Arabidopsis thaliana: one gene and its partners. The protein of the gene in region 2 interacts with the protein of the main gene of each other region in a pairwise test. Each region holds a gene or a part of one and is shown on either strand. Other genes may lie near its edges. The genes, in order: AT5G41030, AT2G41450, AT1G22490 and AT4G00270.

Region 1 (3,128 bases), on a different chromosome or scaffold from region 2:
ATCTGAATCCACACTTGGTTTCTTCTTGTTGTTCTTCCTCTTCACCTCCTTGTCTATGTTTTCTTCAGCTCCCAAATCAGTATCATCCCGCTTTCTTTTTCCCTTTTTCTTATCAGATACTTTGGAGCTTTCAGTATTTTCTATCACATCACCACCAGATTCTTTCTTGCTCTTCTTCTTCTTCCTCTTCACACCATCATGAGCTTCAGAATCAACCTTTGTCTCCTTACTTTTCTCCTTGGATTTCTTCTCCACACCATCATCCTCAGCTTCGGAATCAGCCTTTGTCTCCTTACTTCTCTTTTTCGATTTCTTCTTCACAGCATCAACAGCTTCAGAATCAATCCTTATTGGCTTCTTCGACTTCTTCTTCTTCTTAACTATAAAAACCTCATCACCTAGTTTCTCACTTTCACGCCCAGTTATCTCCATATCTTCTCCAGTAAAACCATCCTTATTCTCTCGCTTATTCTTCTTCCTCTTCTTTTCCTTATCCTTCATAGAACTGTGCTCGGAAATGAATTCTTCACCGGTTTCTTCAGAATCAACCTTAGCGTCACTCTTTTTCTTCTTATTCTTCTTCTCCTCAGCCATCTCATATACCGGCGGACACGGTTACGAAACCCTAATCACAAAAACCGCCGCGACTTTCGCTCAAATCTAAATCCGAATTTCGATTGAGTGATTTTAAGACACAGCGATGCTGAGATTGATTGTGAAGGAGCTTTTGGATACGGCGGCTTCCTTCATGAATTTGAGATGATTAGGGTATTTAATTACTTTTGTTAAAAAAAATTCCTTTGAACTTGGGTCTTCAATGACCCACTACCCATATTTGGGGCTTGAGTACTACTAGGCCCAACGTATTGCTCTTGACGTTATCAAGTTTTAACAAGAGTTTGATCTAATTTCTATCACTTATGTTACAACTTACAAAGTTGGTGGTTATATTGTGAAATTTCTAAATGATTTGGAAGAAAAAGAAATCAAATAATTACTACTAGAATAAATCAGTATATAAGAGACCTTGGGAAAAGTATTTAAAAATGTAGAATCTTCTTGGATTAACTTCAATGTTTTGTGTGGTGGAGTTTGGATCTTACATGATCATTTGGGACAAAGCTAGTTTTCATCAAAGGGATGCAATTGAAGAACATACTAAACATATATAATCGAAAACTGATATAAAAAAACATAAACACAAAGGTTTGTTTTGAGTTTTGACCTTATTATCAAGTGATGAAAGAATGTAAAACTTAGTTTTTAATGATGTTGATAACCTCTTTTGATTTAAATAAATTCTTTTTAATGTGTGATTTATGCTCAAAACTAAATTTTTCTAATGTTTTCATATTATTTAATTTTGCCCTTGTTAACTCTCATGGATGTTGCCATGTTGATTTGATTGAGCTTTGGATTGGAATTTTTTTTTTTATTTTTTTTTTTTTTTTTTTTTCTTTGGATTGGAATTCATTCGGTAAGTAAGAATATTTCGTGATTATAGAACTTCTAATTATGTAAAAAAAATAAAATAATGCGTGAAAATAATAAAAAGTTGTTACCCTTTTTTTTTACTTAGGTCAAGAGGTCACAACACACGCCCCACCTTGAATCTGAGAGAGAGAGAGAAGTACGTCCCCACACCTTGACATGGTCATGGAGCCCAAGAAGAACCAAAATCTACCAAGTTTCTTAAACCCATCACGACAGAATCAGGACAACGACAAGAAGAGGAAACAAACAGAGGTTAAAGGTTTCGACATTGTGGTCGGCGAAAAGAGGAAGAAGAAGGAGAATGAAGAGGAAGACCAAGAAATTCAGATTCTTTATGAGAAGGAGAAGAAGAAACCAAACAAAGATCGTCACCTTAAAGTTGAAGGAAGAGGTCGTAGAGTTAGGTTACCTCCACTCTGTGCAGCAAGGATTTATCAATTGACTAAAGAATTAGGTCACAAATCAGATGGTGAGACTCTTGAATGGTTGCTTCAACATGCTGAGCCATCGATACTCTCTGCTACTGTAAATGGTATCAAACCCACTGAGTCTGTTGTTTCTCAACCTCCTCTCACGGCTGATTTGATGATTTGTCATAGCGTTGAAGAAGCTTCAAGGACTCAAATGGAGGCAAATGGGTTGTGGAGAAATGAAACAGGACAGACCATTGGAGGGTTTGATCTGAATTACGGAATTGGGTTTGATTTCAATGGTGTTCCAGAGATTGGTTTTGGAGATAATCAAACGCCTGGACTTGAATTAAGGCTGTCTCAAGTTGGGGTTTTGAATCCACAGGTTTTTCAACAAATGGGTAAAGAACAGTTCAGGGTTCTTCATCATCATTCACATGAAGATCAGCAGCAGAGTGCAGAGGAAAATGGTTCATAAAGCTCAAACCTTTAAATGGCTTTTAATTAGATATATTTAGCGAGAATGTGATTGCTAGTGAAATCTCAAACTTGATAGCTTATTCATAGCTTATTTTACTTCGATCAGCAAGAGAACAATGGTTCCTAAAGCTCAAACCTTTTTTGGCGTTTGCTTTAGATTGTGCATACATAAAGTGAGAAGATGAAATATGGTTTTGCTGAAATCTCAATGTGCTCATTCATAGTTTATTTTGCTCGACCTTTCTTTAATCAATAGCTTTGATGTACTGATTACTTTATAAAGTTAAGAAGTAAGTTCTGCTCTTTAAACTGTACTGAATGGAGGCTTCTCTGCATAATTAAGCAAACACTCTGATGATTGAGTTTCGTTGTACAAAGGAAAGTTTTTGCCTTAGTTAGAAATTCATCTTGTTTCTTTGCCCAGAAGCTGGCTTGCTGATAGAATTTGGACTACGCTACGTTTTCTTGGGTGAAAAACAATCCGCGTCCTTCCACGAGAACAGTGAAACTGTACGATGTTCTTATTGTATTGTGTCAACAGCCCATAATCAATGAAATGGGCCTCAATGACAGTATAAGCCGAAAAATATTCGAATGCGATCTAGAACTAATCTGAAACCAAACTTCTCAAATCATTAACATTTGATTAGGGCCTAAAAGTCCATCCGTATTTTAAAAAAAAGTTGATAACAAATGCAAAAATACAAATATACATTACTATTAAAACTCAATCTTTCTGATTAT
Region 2 (5,874 bases):
TTATTTATTTTTTAAACTGTTACAGAAGAAGATAGAGCAGCTGCTTAAAGAAGATGATGGGTGGATGCTTATACGGGTAAACATTTCCTAGGCACTTCATCTGCCCTATGAAATTATTGTTTGTGAATCTGCTAGGAGCTGCTGTTCATGTTGATTCTTGTAATATCTTCCATGTTTGAAGCTTTCTTACATTTTTTGTAGAGGAAGGACGCAGAGGATGGTATGGGGAGAGAGGTTTCTGTTCCCTGCAAATTCTCTACCAGCAGGTTGTCTCCTCCTTCCTAGCTTAAGTAGGAATTTTTGGTTCTAAGTTGTAGTTGTCTGGTGCCCCATTAAAGCCTGATTTGGTCTTGGTATATCTACAGCACGGGTGAGAGACAAGGTGATGAAGCACCAGCACCACCGCTGGTATGTATATTAATATTCTTTCACAGTCCTGCATGCCTCTCTCTTTACCCCACATTGTCTTGTTATACTTGTGCATCTTTTATTGCAGTCGCAACTGCAGCTACAATTCGAGAGACGAAATGCTGAACCCATGATGATCGAATACGGGAGATTATGGCTGTTGAAGGAGTAAATGCGTCGCCATCCCACTTGTTGCTCTCTACAGAGTCGATGTCAGTTTCACTTTGTTTCTGATGGTTTGTTTCTTTTTCCTTCTTTTCGTGAAAACTGACAGGAGAATGAACGGTAGACAGCTCGACGGTATGAACAATGCCGAGCTGGCCTTACTTCAAGCTAAGATAGTACATGGATTGCAGGAGTTGCACGAGCATATGTATGCACCAACAATGGAAAAAATCGCTAAGAAGCGCAGATATCTGTTAAGAGAGGTTCCCGGCCGGAGCTGAGCGCGAGGGACGATGAAAGCTCAGAAGGCCACACCCGGCCATCAAATCTTTCTATGAGACTCTTAAGTGACTTCTGGTTTCTCTATTTCTATTTTAGTTTATCGTCAATCCTGACTTTCCTCATGTCGGGCCTCTCTTAGTTGATTTTAATATGTCTTAAGTAAATTTACTAATCTATTATCATAGTCGTGGCATGTTACAGATTTCTGTTATATCATTTTTTTGCTTCATACTTAGAACTTTCCGACCTCTTCTATCAACATCACCTTGATCCTCAAAATTAGGCGTGGGCGTTCGGGATCGGTTCTTTTTTTTCGGGTATCGGGTCTATTCGGATAGGAGGTTGAGAACTATTCGGGTATTCTAAAAATTTGGTTCAGATTCGGGTCGGTTTAGTTATTTTAGTAAAAATATAAAAATAACCAAAAATATCCAAAATATTTTCGGGTTTGGGTCGGATTCGGGATTTTTTACTCACATATACTTAAATCTACCCAAAATACCCGATTATCAGTAAATATATTGGTTACTTTTTATCCAAATGTAACCAAAATACTTAAATTACCTAAAAAAACCTATAACATTCGGGTTTTTTCGTTTGATGCGAAAAGTCTCGTCTTGACTCTTGAAGATTTGGTTTTTTGACTCCACAAGTCGTCGATTTGACATTCGAACAAATGATTAGTCAGACGATCAGAAACGCTCCAAAACGCAGCGCTTTGGCTAGAACAGAGCTTTAAGACACCTATGTTAATACGAAAATACCCTCTGATAAACTTATTTATACACTCGACGTTTCGTTTTTTTTTCCAGTTTTCTGAAAAGTAAATTATTTGAAATCCCGCTCTGAATTTTTACAATGGCGCCAAAGAGAGCATCGCCGATGCAGTCTTCTCTGTACTCTATCGGTAAGAACTCGGAAAGCCCTTGATTTTATTCAGAATACTCCGATCAATCAAATGAATCTTCGTGTGTTTTGATTCGATTTCTCCAGGTGATTACGAGGTTGCAGTGGATGGTAAGAATTTCACCTGTGAATCTGGACCCAAAAGCATTCAAATTAAATTTCCCAGAAACTACAGAGTAAAAATCTCAGGTTCGTCTAGAATTTGGATTCTTGCGGTTTTGTTTTTTTTCCACTCTAATTTGATTGTTAGTCATTTTGGGCTCTATGATTTGATTATCTAATTCAATTTCATCTATTGATGTTATGCGGCTACTAGCAAAATGTGTAACAAACGTTCAAGTTGTCAACTTTTCTGCATAATATCTTACTTAGTTTCTTGTTTGGTTTTGTTTAGAGAAGGATAAAATCGTTTCTGATTATCCGAAAGAAGACATGTTTCTTCTTCTTAATCCTCGGGATGAAGATGATTTTACCAAATCTCATCTCCAAGTAAGTGGAATCTTACCAAAGCACTTAAAAATTGGTTTCTTTTGAGAAAAAGGCATTACTTTAGGGAATCTATTGCTCATAAGTACTATTAACTTAACTCATTCAGGAAGTTTTGAAGTTATATAGCAAAGAGTTACCTGACATGAGATATGCTTCAAACACTGGGAAGCAATCTGCATTTCTTGAGAGATGTGTCTCTAAAGGGTAAAAATCGTCTCTTTATCATAACCTTTCTTTATGTTTCAAGCTGGACTTTTAAGTATAGAGACTTCTTTTGGCCGTTTGTCACTAATAAAAACATTGAGAACGGAACCCATTTTTGATATGAATGGAAGAGTTATCTAATGCTGTATTTATTTGAATTGCATTATCTTGCAGAAAGTATTGTTCATTGGTTTTGAAGTCCACGCTTGGTGGAGACTCAGATGAGGTAATTAATAAGCTTTGGTTTAGTAAGTTCTTGATCAAAAGCAGCCTAGGCCTTGGAAGAATCTTGAAGAGACGTATTATTCTAACCAGCATGCTGTTTTGTTCCAATAGGAAGAATCTGTTTTATTCAATCTGCCAATGAATCGTATTTTAGATTGTCTGCTTTACCACATCTGAATTGATTATTTGGCGTGTGCTTTTGTAGATCTTAGCTGCAATCACTTATCAAATAGTCCCTGCTGATACACAGTATGCTGAGATACCTCTTGCTGCTGTAACATATACACACCAGAAAAAGGTTCGTTTTGCTCTGACTCTTTTGACACTTACTGTTGTAATAGCTTTTTTTGTGCAACGCTTTTACTAAAGGTCTTGTGTTTAATAGTTCATGTCTATAAGTTTATGTATTAGATATTGCATACTTGGTTTTAAGTGCTTCTTAGAACTGTAAACTTTTTCTTTCTGCAACTGGTTTTACTAAAAATAGCGTGCTAGAAACCTCATCAAAAACTAAATAGATGAGTTTCTTTTAATACATTTTCAGGGATTTGGTAAGCTCGTCTATGAAGAATTAATGAAGAGGCTTCATAGTGTTGGCATTCGAACTATATATTGTTGGGCAGACAAAGAATCTGAAGGATTCTGGCTTAAACAGGTGATATTATCACTTTATCACTATGTTTATGGTTGTTGGTGTTTTATCTTTATTAGTTTGTTGGATTCAAACTAAACTATCTTTTTTAAGTGCTTTGACTGTTTGGTTTCTTATATTACTTTACGAATTTTCAGGGGTTTATAAAATTAGCAGAGGTAGACCACAAAGGAAAAGCAAAGGGGTTGCACATTAAGTCTAATATTCGAAAAGCCTTGTGTTTTCCTGGCGGTTCAACTCTCATGCTTTCTCATCTGAACAAGGAATTTATTTCAAACCTTGAGATTTCCTCTTCATGGAAATATCAGTGTGAGGGATCTCCACTCTCGGCAAGAAATAATAGCACAGGTCCTGTGACTGGAGATTCAGTTAAACTGAGAGAGAGCTTTGGTGAAAGCGTATATCTTGACTGTAAGTTTAAAACTATTTCTTTCGTCAAATAGCCTAAGAGAATGTCTCTGAAGAAGATACCACATCATGAAGCATTTGAATATGTCTCTGAAGTTTCTGTTATAATGTGCCGTACACAGGTATCTCTGGTATCAGAAGTCCAATGGACTCGATCACAGGAAAGGAAAACAACAACGTGATCTCTGATCAAGCTACCACAGCTGACAGTGAGACCAAATGTTCAACACCAGGCTTAAAGAGATCTTGGGAAGCTTCATTGTCCTCTCTACAATCTAAAAGGATTCGGGCAAACAACAATAATAACTCTGAGATAGCAAAAACAGATTTGGCTCAGAGCTCTGCAAAGCAATCGAAAGATGGTAATTCCTCCCAAGTAGATATAACCAAGGATTCCCTGCCCACAATCTGCAAAAGAAACGACGTTGAACAATGTAGAATGGCAACTGGGATAGACATGGAAGCTCGTCCAAATGGACAACACTATAGAATCTTGTTGATGGACATTTGTGATGAAAACAAGAGAGCTTGGTTAACAGAGGTATATAAATCTTTCTGAGTTATTTGTTCCTTAAATGGGTTTTGTATCCACCTTACGTTGTCTTCTGATTTCTATGCAGGTAATAAGAAAACTTGGTGGTACTGTGACCTTGGATGGCACAACGAGCACGCATATTGTCACCGGAAAAGTCAGGAAAACTCTGAATCTCTGCACTGCTCTTTGCTCTGGGTTAGTCTCAAATATACAGGCATCATATTAGCCATTGTGAACTTATGCGTAAAATCATAGGAATGACGCGGTTTATGGTCCATCATACTTGCTTGCAGGGCGTGGATAGTATCACCAAGTTGGTTAAAAGAAAGTGTCCGAGAAGGAAGATTTGCTAGTAAGATGAGATATAATTATCTATCTCTGATGGGTACTTACTAATGAATTATAATGCTGACACTATTTTTGTTTAATAGATGAAGCTTCACACATACTGCATGACGAAGACTACCAGTTGAAATATGATACTGATCTAAAAAGCACAGTTCTTAGAGCAAAAGCTAGACCAAACTCGTTGCTAAAAGGATATGACATATGCGTTGGACCTAACATTGAACTGCCTATCAAAACTTCATCTGCTATCATCAAATCTGCTGGTGGAAATGTAAGTATTAGTTAACAACTTGTTTCAAGTGTTTCACATTTGAATCCAAAACATTGTAATATTCATGTGTTATCTGCAGGTGATAAGTGGAGTGAATAAGGTAAAGGAGGCGTCAAAAGCGATATACATAGGGTGCGAAGAAGACACAGTAGGGGCATTATTTGCAGCAAAGAAAGGAATTTGGACATTCAGCAGCGAATGGTTCATGAACTGTGTCATGAAGCAACAACTTGATCTTCAAGTTCCTCAGTTTGTTGAGTCCTTATGATGATGACTCGAACTCGAAACCTCCTATGATCTTTAGCTTGGAAAATCTCACTTATTATCTTTTTATGTTTAGAGACATTGTCGGAAGTTGAATGGATAGGCTAAGAAGCAAACTCAAGTCGCCGGTCTATTTATGTATAAAAATAAAAATGTGTTACTTGAAGGTTGGTTTAAGTTACATTTAAAAGTTTGAGATAATTTTGAAATATGAAAGGAAACTGAGGGTTAAATCGCAAAAAGGTAAAGAACTGAGGGATATTTTCGCAAACATTTAGAACAATGAATGAATAAGCGTAGGAGTTTCAAACTCAGCCCAATACACATCTCAGTAATGGGCCGACTAAAACTCAGCCCAATACACATCTTTACCCTCACCAGGGCAAAGCTAAAACATTTCGGATTGCTCTCTCGCTTGCACATGGATCCGTTCGTGTTTCGTGCCATTTCCACCATTATCGCTCCTTAAAAACCTTTTTCCAGCTAATTCTCTTTGTTAATCGTAGCTTTTTTGCTTCATCTGTCTCTTTCTGCTTTTGAGCTAGAATTTGTTGGGATCTGTGTTAGAGATTACAATTCTAATGTTCTAAATCGCAAAATGGATTCCCAAATGTTTTTTGAAATCGACAACACTTGAATCAGAAAGAAATCAATTCTAATGTTCTAAATAACATTGTTTTTTTGAAATCACCAAATGTTTGTTGTCATCTCTAGAGT
Region 3 (4,548 bases), on a different chromosome or scaffold from region 2:
AGGAGACAAGATTACTATAGCTTAAATTCAATTTGAAGTGCATACAACAAGATTCTTTGTATCATCATGAAAAGTTTGTCCTGCAGTTTTATGTTCACATATTATTTATTTTTTCGGCAAATTGGTTCAGATTTTAAGATTCCAAGTGTCCGACCAAATTTGATTACAAAACGCAGCCTAGTCACATCTATCTAATTCTTTAAATTTTGTTTTCATATCAAAATTGATTTCTACTATTATATATTCCCAGAGTGATTAGATCAGAATAATCAAAAGATGCCACCTAATTTATATACATAACTTTTTTGGTTTTTGATGTTGAAAAGTAGTGACAAAAGATTTTTAATAGACCATCATTTTATAACATGCAAGTAAATATCTCGATTTAAATATATTTTTAATAACATCACGAAACAAATTTGTTAAAACCTGACATAAAGTGATCCCCACCGGCCAAAATAAATCTTCTATTGGTTGTGTATTTTCTGACAAACATTTGTTTTAAAGATTTTTAATTTTAATCGGATACTTAACCATATATTTGATATGGAAATACATTATATTTTTGTTTAAAGTAAAATAATAGAACATGAGTGTAACTAGACGACCCCCAACCTGCAAACAGATTATTTGGTCTTGTGGACTGGTCTACTACTATCTCACGTGCAAACTTGACGCTGCAATGTATACATTTATCTATATGCATCTATGTATCTAAATAGTAATTAGTAACCATAGATAATGGATCTAATTCCACGAAGTTGGATAGATATTCTAAGGTAATATCTGGTAGAATTTTAATTTTCAAACCAAAAAAATTGTTACCAGATGTGAATGCGTAGAACTAAAAATTAATTGGCGTAGACCGTCCTAACTGGAAACTCAAATAACTTTGTTTACAAGTAGCATGTAACTGTATATATATAATGCTTTAGAATTTTTATGGTCCAATTGAAAATTTCACATTTTCGTTTTATTGTATCACTCACTTGTCCGACTGACGTAGAATTGCACGTCTTAATTTTTTTTTGGCGAAAACGCTAATCCGCAACAAAAAAATTTGTTAAAGTAGTCCGTAACTTTTTTTTTGGTTAAAGTAATCCGCAACATGACATATTAGTACTAACGAACTATTGTTTTTTCTATTAATTTTTTGCTATATTTAGAATTTTAAGTAGTTTAGCCATCACCATCTGTGTATCCTTACACTATACATATTCGGAAAAACTCGAAAGAGGTTTTAACTGGTTATGATCACCACCAGCAGTCCAGCACCAGTTTTCTTTCACTCGAACGTCAATATAAATTCACTGCCCACTATATCAGCTTTACCATTTCTTAATAAATTATTTATTATTTATTTGATTTTGAACTAAGAAAGATTATGGGTTTTTAGGAATAGTTCCAAACAATTAACATCTTAATAATAAAATTACTATATAATAAAACTAATTTATATTAAAAACATTATGAACAATTTTTTTCTTTATTTTCTTAACCTCTAATTATTATGAACAAGTTATTTAAATACAATTGGGATGATTATTACAAGTGCACTTTATATCTCCTTTTCAGTGTTTTTTATATATATATTGGTGACAAATACATCTTTTCTTTAGTTTTATTTTTCTTTTCGTTTTTGATCTCTGCGGGAGCATTTATTTTTGGTCAACTGTGAGAGCATCAAAAAAAAAAAAAAAAAAATTAATAGCCTCACAAAGCTTCTCTCAATTCCCTTTTTAAATAAATCACACCACTTTGTTTGATCCTCATATTTCGGTTTTCACTCTCATATCTTTCTTTTGTATATTTATTTTTGTTGAAGATTCACTCTCCTATTCTTCCTCCATGCCGGTGAGTTCTTGAGAATTTAATATTTTGTAAATCAATTTACAAAAAATCTTCATATAACTAATACCATGCTTAGTTTCCTTTAGTGGGCTTAACCCTTTTGCCTTTATTTCCCCCTCGAGACAAAAAGGAGAGCGACAAACACTTCCTGTCTAAATTTTGTTTTCTCTCCTTCTCTCTCCCTCTCTCGGTTTCTCAATCTTTCTTATTTTTTCCATAATTCTGAATTTTTCTTTTCAACAATCTCCGGCTAAAAAATGCCCTTAGAGGCTGTCGTATACCCGCAAGATCCATTCGGATATCTCTCCAATTGCAAAGATTTTATGTTCCACGACTTATACTCTCAAGAAGAGTTCGTAGCTCAAGATACGAAGAACAACATTGATAAGTTAGGGCATGAACAGAGCTTTGTGGAACAAGGTAAGGAGGACGATCATCAATGGCGAGACTATCATCAGTATCCTTTGTTGATCCCTTCGTTGGGAGAAGAGCTTGGTCTTACCGCCATTGATGTGGAGAGTCATCCTCCTCCACAGCACCGGAGGAAGAGGAGGAGAACGAGAAACTGCAAGAACAAGGAAGAGATCGAGAACCAGAGAATGACTCACATCGCCGTCGAGAGAAATCGCCGGAAACAGATGAACGAGTATCTGGCTGTGCTCCGTTCTCTAATGCCGTCGTCGTATGCTCAAAGAGTAACTTACTAATTCAATGTTTATATATGCTATATATCATTTGGTCAGGGTCATTCTTAGGTATATGTGTCTTTGTTTTATTACTTGCTTGGCTGTAGTACTCATTTCTCCATAATATATTAACACAAAAGAATAGAATGAAAATGACTGAGAATATATATTGATGTTTTTATACAATATATTAACAAGAAAATCCACCGTAAATATGGAAGGGTGACGCGTTTATATACATACTAATAATCTTTGCTGTTACATATTTTAATGTATTTTTTAAAATAAAATATTATGTGTCACCAAAAATTAGAACGAGTATGATTGAGAATATTGGGATATGTTTTAGAACAATTTCGTAATAAACTTAAGCAATTAGCAATGATACGTGTGTGTGTATATTTATACATTCAAAGATTTTTTCAATCTTTATGATAACTATATGATCTGACATGAGCGGGTTTTGGTGGTAAAGGGAGATCAAGCGTCGATAGTAGGAGGAGCTATAAACTACGTGAAGGAGTTAGAGCATATTTTACAATCTATGGAGCCGAAGAGAACTAGGACTCATGATCCCAAAGGAGACAAGACTAGCACTAGCTCGTTAGTGGGTCCATTCACAGATTTTTTCAGCTTCCCACAATATTCTACAAAGTCATCATCAGATGTACCGGAAAGCTCATCTTCACCGGCGGAGATAGAGGTTACGGTGGCAGAAAGCCATGCGAACATCAAGATAATGACGAAGAAGAAACCGAGGCAGCTTCTTAAGCTCATAACTTCTTTACAAAGCCTAAGGCTCACTCTTCTTCATCTCAATGTCACCACTCTCCACAACTCCATTCTCTACTCCATCAGCGTCAGGGTACGTACATTTTCAACTTCTCATCATTACTTTGTTTGCTTTTGGGGTAATCATGAGATTAAAGTGAGTAATGACTGTGTGTGTGGTGCATATGGTTTCACTTTGTTGATTTATTTTTTTGTCTCTTATTGTTGGGGGGAAATTTTGGATTAGTACTATTGTGGTTATGCCTGGGCTTTAAAAAGGTTGTGAAGAAAAATTAAAATCATTCTCTTTGTTTTTTTCTTACCTCCTTTGGGTACTTAGGGCTGGGGCCTCAATAGTTGTGGGTCAAACTCATAATCATCATTTTGATTATTATTTTTGTCAATAATAAATTGCGTATCTTAATCGTGCCTGTAAGAATCAGGGGACCAACCTAAAGAAACGAAACACGAATATGTGTCTATCTATATCCACGAATTGTATACGTGGTGTTGTGTATTTATATATGTTTATGTATATGTTTATGTACTGTGGATATATGTTCGGTGGTCACATAATTGTAGATGAGATATGTACGGACAACGAAGTGAGTCCACCATTTGTTTCAGGAGATATTTAGCAAATAGAAAGATATTTTGTTATAGTTATCTACATCCTTCTAATTTTGTTTGTTGCAACTTTTTTCAAGAATTGTTATGTATATCTTTATTTCTTAAGAGAAAATGTGTTGGTTCAGGTTGAAGAAGGAAGCCAACTGAATACCGTGGACGACATTGCAACAGCTTTGAATCAAACCATAAGGAGGATTCAAGAAGAGACATAATTCAGCAAATAGATTATAATTAACTTGTTTTATTTTTATTTTATTTTGAAATAACTGAAATCAGTTTTCTAATTTTTTTTTTTTTTCACTATTCCTCTAATCCTCCCTATGTAAGTTGCATTTTTGTCTCTTGTAATGAATCAATGGTCATAAAGATCTGAACAAAAAAATTGAATAAAAGAAAATGGTTTAAGTCGATAAGTATGTGACATTGGGCGCTAATAGCCGTTAGGCCTACGCCTAATGTACTTCTCAGTGTTTTTAGGGTTGTGTTTAGTGTATAATTATAATGATTAATAGTATGATTGATTAATTTTTGAATTTATTTTCTTCAAAGATGAATTCGTCTTTTTCTAGAACTTTTAAAGTTTGTGGGTTCAACTTTTAATCCGTTAATC
Region 4 (3,626 bases), on a different chromosome or scaffold from region 2:
TAGGAGGAATACATAGAAAGATACACTGATTTTAAATAATAAAATATGAAATAAAAATACATAAATGATGTATTGGTAACATAAGCACTACATGCACATGTCAACTGATTTTAAATAACAAAAATGTTATGTTAAAACAAAAATAAAAATACATGAATGATGTCTTGGTAAGAGAAGGACTGCATGCATAGATCAACTGTTTTTAAATAACAGAAATCTTAACTCTAAATATTAAAACAAAAAGGAAAATACAGAAATAATGTCTTGATAATAGGAGCACTATATGCAAAGGTAAACATGTATTTTTTCTGCTTCCCTCCCATTCAAAGCCTTAATCAATGAAGTTTTGGCTAAAAGAATGATCTTTGACCGATGGAGTATTGTGTCGCTTGATGTGATCTTTTTACATTAGAATTGTGGTCATTTGTCTCAGGGAAAAGAGGAGCTATACAATATAACAAGAGGTCCTTCTTGAGGTGGTGAAGATCATAAAGAAGCACGGTTACGTTCCTTTTGTAATATTCCTTGGATCTCGAAATCGAGTACAAGTTCCTATCATGCTAATGGCGGAGATGGATGAAGGCATTTTACATTGTAATCTGTTCATTTAATTTGGATTGCTTTCATTGTTTCATTTGTTTGACATACATAGACACTAATAGTTGAGGATTATGTATTTACAACAATAAAGTGTTCCACTACACAAGGTACAATCGATATATATATAGTGTTAACTCTCATTTGTGTATATATGCATATCAGTTTGTAGGTGTTACTATGATAGTAGTACATTTATTAATTTATAAAAATTTATACGTAAAATACAATATTAATTTTTTAAAAAGAAAAATTTTAATTTAGTTTTTCTTTATGTTTTATTGTTTGTATATTCTGTTAGATTTTTTTTTATTACTTTTTTTATTTTTTCTCTGTAAGATATTGTGCATGTATACGACGTTAACGTGAGACTTAATCCAATTTTTTATTACACAAATCTTAACAATGATTTTTCATATAAAAAAAGTTACAAAACCAAATATGACGGATCAAATACGCAAAGAGTTATGTGAATACAAAAGAGATCACACCAACTATACTCTAGAAAGAGTTGCAATTATGACTTGAACAAAAGTTTCATATAAAATTAGTCTTTGAATGTATGCTAAAGATTTATGATTATTAATTTTATGATATTACTGGTACCATATTTTTACATAGGGATTTCAAAAAAAATATTATCTTATTATCTTATCGATTTTGGTTAATTTTTACATTACCCCGATTTGAGACCGACAAAATTTATTAATTTATCGTGTAATATGTTTTGTTCAAATACCTTTTAATATCTATTTAATAATAAAAAAATATTCAATCAGAAATGGATAATATATAATATAATTATTTACTTAAAATATATCAGCAATGAATCTTAAAATGTAGAAAAAACTAAATTTTAATTTATTATATAAAAAAGGTAGATAAAATATTTTATACTATTAAGTGACTAAAATGATAGATTTTTGCAAGAGCAAAATTGTACTATTGATGAATATTAAACAGTAGAAAAAAAGATGAAAGTGTTTGTTTTGTTATGAATGTTGAGAAAAGTATGGCCAAGTGTTACTCATCCTATTTTGCTTTTCTTTTTCTCTCGGGTTTCACTTTTTAAAGGTCGTGAAGATTGGGAATCACTGCTCTGCATGCGCCCTAGAATCAGCAAGTCTAAAGCAAGCAATAAGCATGGTGACTCCGAAGCAGATCGATTTCTCTTCCTGTGTTGGTGCTGATAACTCCAACGGTACCCTCTCCCATCGAAGATCTCCACGGAATATTCCTTCCTCAAAGCGTGCTGCTTCCGTCGCAGAAGAAGAGACTATGAAGAAGAAGATGAAGATGAAGAAGAAGAAGAAGAAATTGGATCCGCCGTTGATCGTCCGGATCTGGAACGAGGAAGATGAGCTCTCTATCTTAAAGGTATTGTATTGATCTTCTCCATTTATAGTTTGATTTGGTTTTGCATTGTGATTTTCTAAAACCAGATTTTCGAAATTGCTCAGGGGTTAGTTGATTACAGAGCTAAGACAGGATTCAATCCCAAAATTGATTGGGATGCGTTTTGTAGTTTCCTCGGAAGTTCTATCGTTGAGAGATTCTCCAAGGATCAGGTTTTGAGTAAAATCAGGAAGTTGAAAAGGAGGTTTCATGTTCACTCGGAGAAAATCAATCAAGGGAATGATCCCAAATTTACTAGGTCTAGTGATTCTGAAGCCTTTGGGTTTTCTTCGATGATTTGGGGACAAGGTGATGATGATGGTATGGATAAGGAGCACGAGGTAAACGGAAATGGTGCAGCGGAAAACCGGACTAACGAGAGCGGGGAGGAGATGTTGAAGGAGCACGAGGAGGAAGTGGCTAATACTGAACTTTTAAATGAGAATGGGGCAGCCAAAACAACAGAGAATGGGACTAGTAGTGGAAAAGAGAGACATGATGAGGACAATGATGATGATGATGAGTTATGCGCGGTGCAGGATGCATTTGAGGCGGTGATGTCGCAAGGTTTAAGTGGTTATCAAAAGAAGTTGCAGCTTGAGAAGCTGATGAACCTTGGAAATGGTAAAAGAAGAGAGTTGAGTGATGAATGGAAAGCGTTATGTGTTGAGGAAACAAGATTCAATATCAAGAAGCTTAGATTTTCCGCCAAGCTTGCAGAGGCAGCTAATGATAGTTAGATGAAACCAATATGCCCTTGTAGCATTTGGTGTTGTTTAGGTTCTTAGTAAGTCATAAGCTCTAGTCTGTTCAGTGTATTTATCTTTGGATCCTGTCTTTCTTCTACTTGGGCAAGTGTTTGTAAGATATTCCACTTTTTACTCAAGTATCCACAAGAGCCAATGTAGTAGAGTGGCTTGTGCAAGAGTCTAGAGTCTAGGGTTAATAATGTGCTTTAAGGCATGCTTGTGTGTGTGCCTAAGAGTGTAGTGAAGTAGTATAAGTAAGAGTGTGTGTGTGTCTTGTAATATTATCCAAGATATTAACAATGTAGAAGATTAAAAGAAAAATGGTTTTTGTTCTTACTCTCTAAGACAATGAAACCTTAAGAGTTATATCTTACCAAATAAAAGAGTCAAACATTGATTCATTTCAATATAGAGTTTCATTTGATTTCTAGCTTCACCTTGGAGCAGAACTTAAGGACGCAACTTGTTTCTTCTTCCCAAATCAGTTCCAACATGATGGATTCGTTTGCCTTCACATCGTTAGCTTGGATGAATCCTTGCCATCCTCCTACCATTCGTAGTCTTTTTCTTTTGTCGTCCTCGAACCGCAGAGTCGTTAACCACTTCACACCATGTTTATCCAACAGAGTCATTTTAGTTTCTTCATTGATACCATTCATCCTCGTGAAAGGAACCGGAAGACGCTGAAACATAGATTCACACAAAAGATTCTCATTCTATAGACTGTTAAAAGACAATGGCTTGGAATGATGAAACGTACCAGTAGAGAACTTTGGATTGTATAAGGTGTTAGAGTTAATGTCACAAATCGGTTTTCGGATAGTAAAGACTTTCTTCTTGAGATTTTCTCGTCGTGGATACTCTCTTCATCGCTTTCTTGCTCTG

Evidence for each region.
Region 1: the proteins of AT2G41450 (region 2) and AT5G41030 interact in a two-hybrid assay, tested with the Arabidopsis thaliana proteins (one large-scale study listed by BioGRID).
Region 3: the proteins of AT2G41450 (region 2) and AT1G22490 interact in a two-hybrid assay, tested with the Arabidopsis thaliana proteins (one large-scale study listed by BioGRID).
Region 4: the proteins of AT2G41450 (region 2) and AT4G00270 interact in a two-hybrid assay, tested with the Arabidopsis thaliana proteins (one large-scale study listed by BioGRID).

Annotation. Positions count from the first base shown.
Region 1 is NC_003076.8:16,427,056-16,430,183, forward strand, and holds AT5G41030 (TCP family transcription factor), read left to right. Parts: upstream 1-1,650; coding exon 1,651-2,382; 3' UTR 2,383-2,624; downstream 2,625-3,128. Other genes in the region: AT5G41020 (myb family transcription factor), read right to left, coding at 1-594; AT5G41025 (uncharacterized protein), read left to right, coding at 135-380.
Region 2 is NC_003071.7:17,276,477-17,282,350, forward strand, and holds AT2G41450 (N-acetyltransferase), read left to right. Parts: upstream 1-1,671; 5' UTR 1,672-1,713; coding exon 1,714-1,762; intron 1,763-1,764; exon of another isoform or gene 1,765-1,848; coding exon 1,849-1,950; intron 1,951-2,155; coding exon 2,156-2,250; intron 2,251-2,356; coding exon 2,357-2,454; intron 2,455-2,628; coding exon 2,629-2,680; intron 2,681-2,884; coding exon 2,885-2,977; intron 2,978-3,223; coding exon 3,224-3,334; intron 3,335-3,468; coding exon 3,469-3,742; intron 3,743-3,861; coding exon 3,862-4,280; intron 4,281-4,359; coding exon 4,360-4,469; intron 4,470-4,567; coding exon 4,568-4,626; intron 4,627-4,705; coding exon 4,706-4,893; intron 4,894-4,972; coding exon 4,973-5,161; 3' UTR 5,162-5,354; downstream 5,355-5,874. Other genes in the region: AT2G41445 (agamous-like MADS-box protein), read left to right, coding at 26-76, 202-266, 366-408, 497-576, 683-854.
Region 3 is NC_003070.9:7,938,050-7,942,597, reverse strand, and holds AT1G22490 (basic helix-loop-helix (bHLH) DNA-binding superfamily protein), read left to right. Parts: upstream 1-1,972; 5' UTR 1,973-2,108; coding exon 2,109-2,546; intron 2,547-3,012; coding exon 3,013-3,555; 3' UTR 3,556-4,001; downstream 4,002-4,548.
Region 4 is NC_003075.7:116,583-120,208, reverse strand, and holds AT4G00270 (DNA-binding storekeeper protein-related transcriptional regulator), read left to right. Parts: upstream 1-1,565; 5' UTR 1,566-1,740; coding exon 1,741-1,974; intron 1,975-2,057; coding exon 2,058-2,732; 3' UTR 2,733-3,124; downstream 3,125-3,626. Other genes in the region: MEE45 (Transcriptional factor B3 family protein), read right to left, coding at 3,158-3,457, 3,502-3,626. UniProt on the Arabidopsis thaliana protein: DNA-binding protein, which specifically recognizes the GL1 enhancer sequence. May be involved in leaf initiation. May play redundant roles with GPL1 and GPL2 in cytokinin responses by regulating the transcript levels of type-A ARR response genes.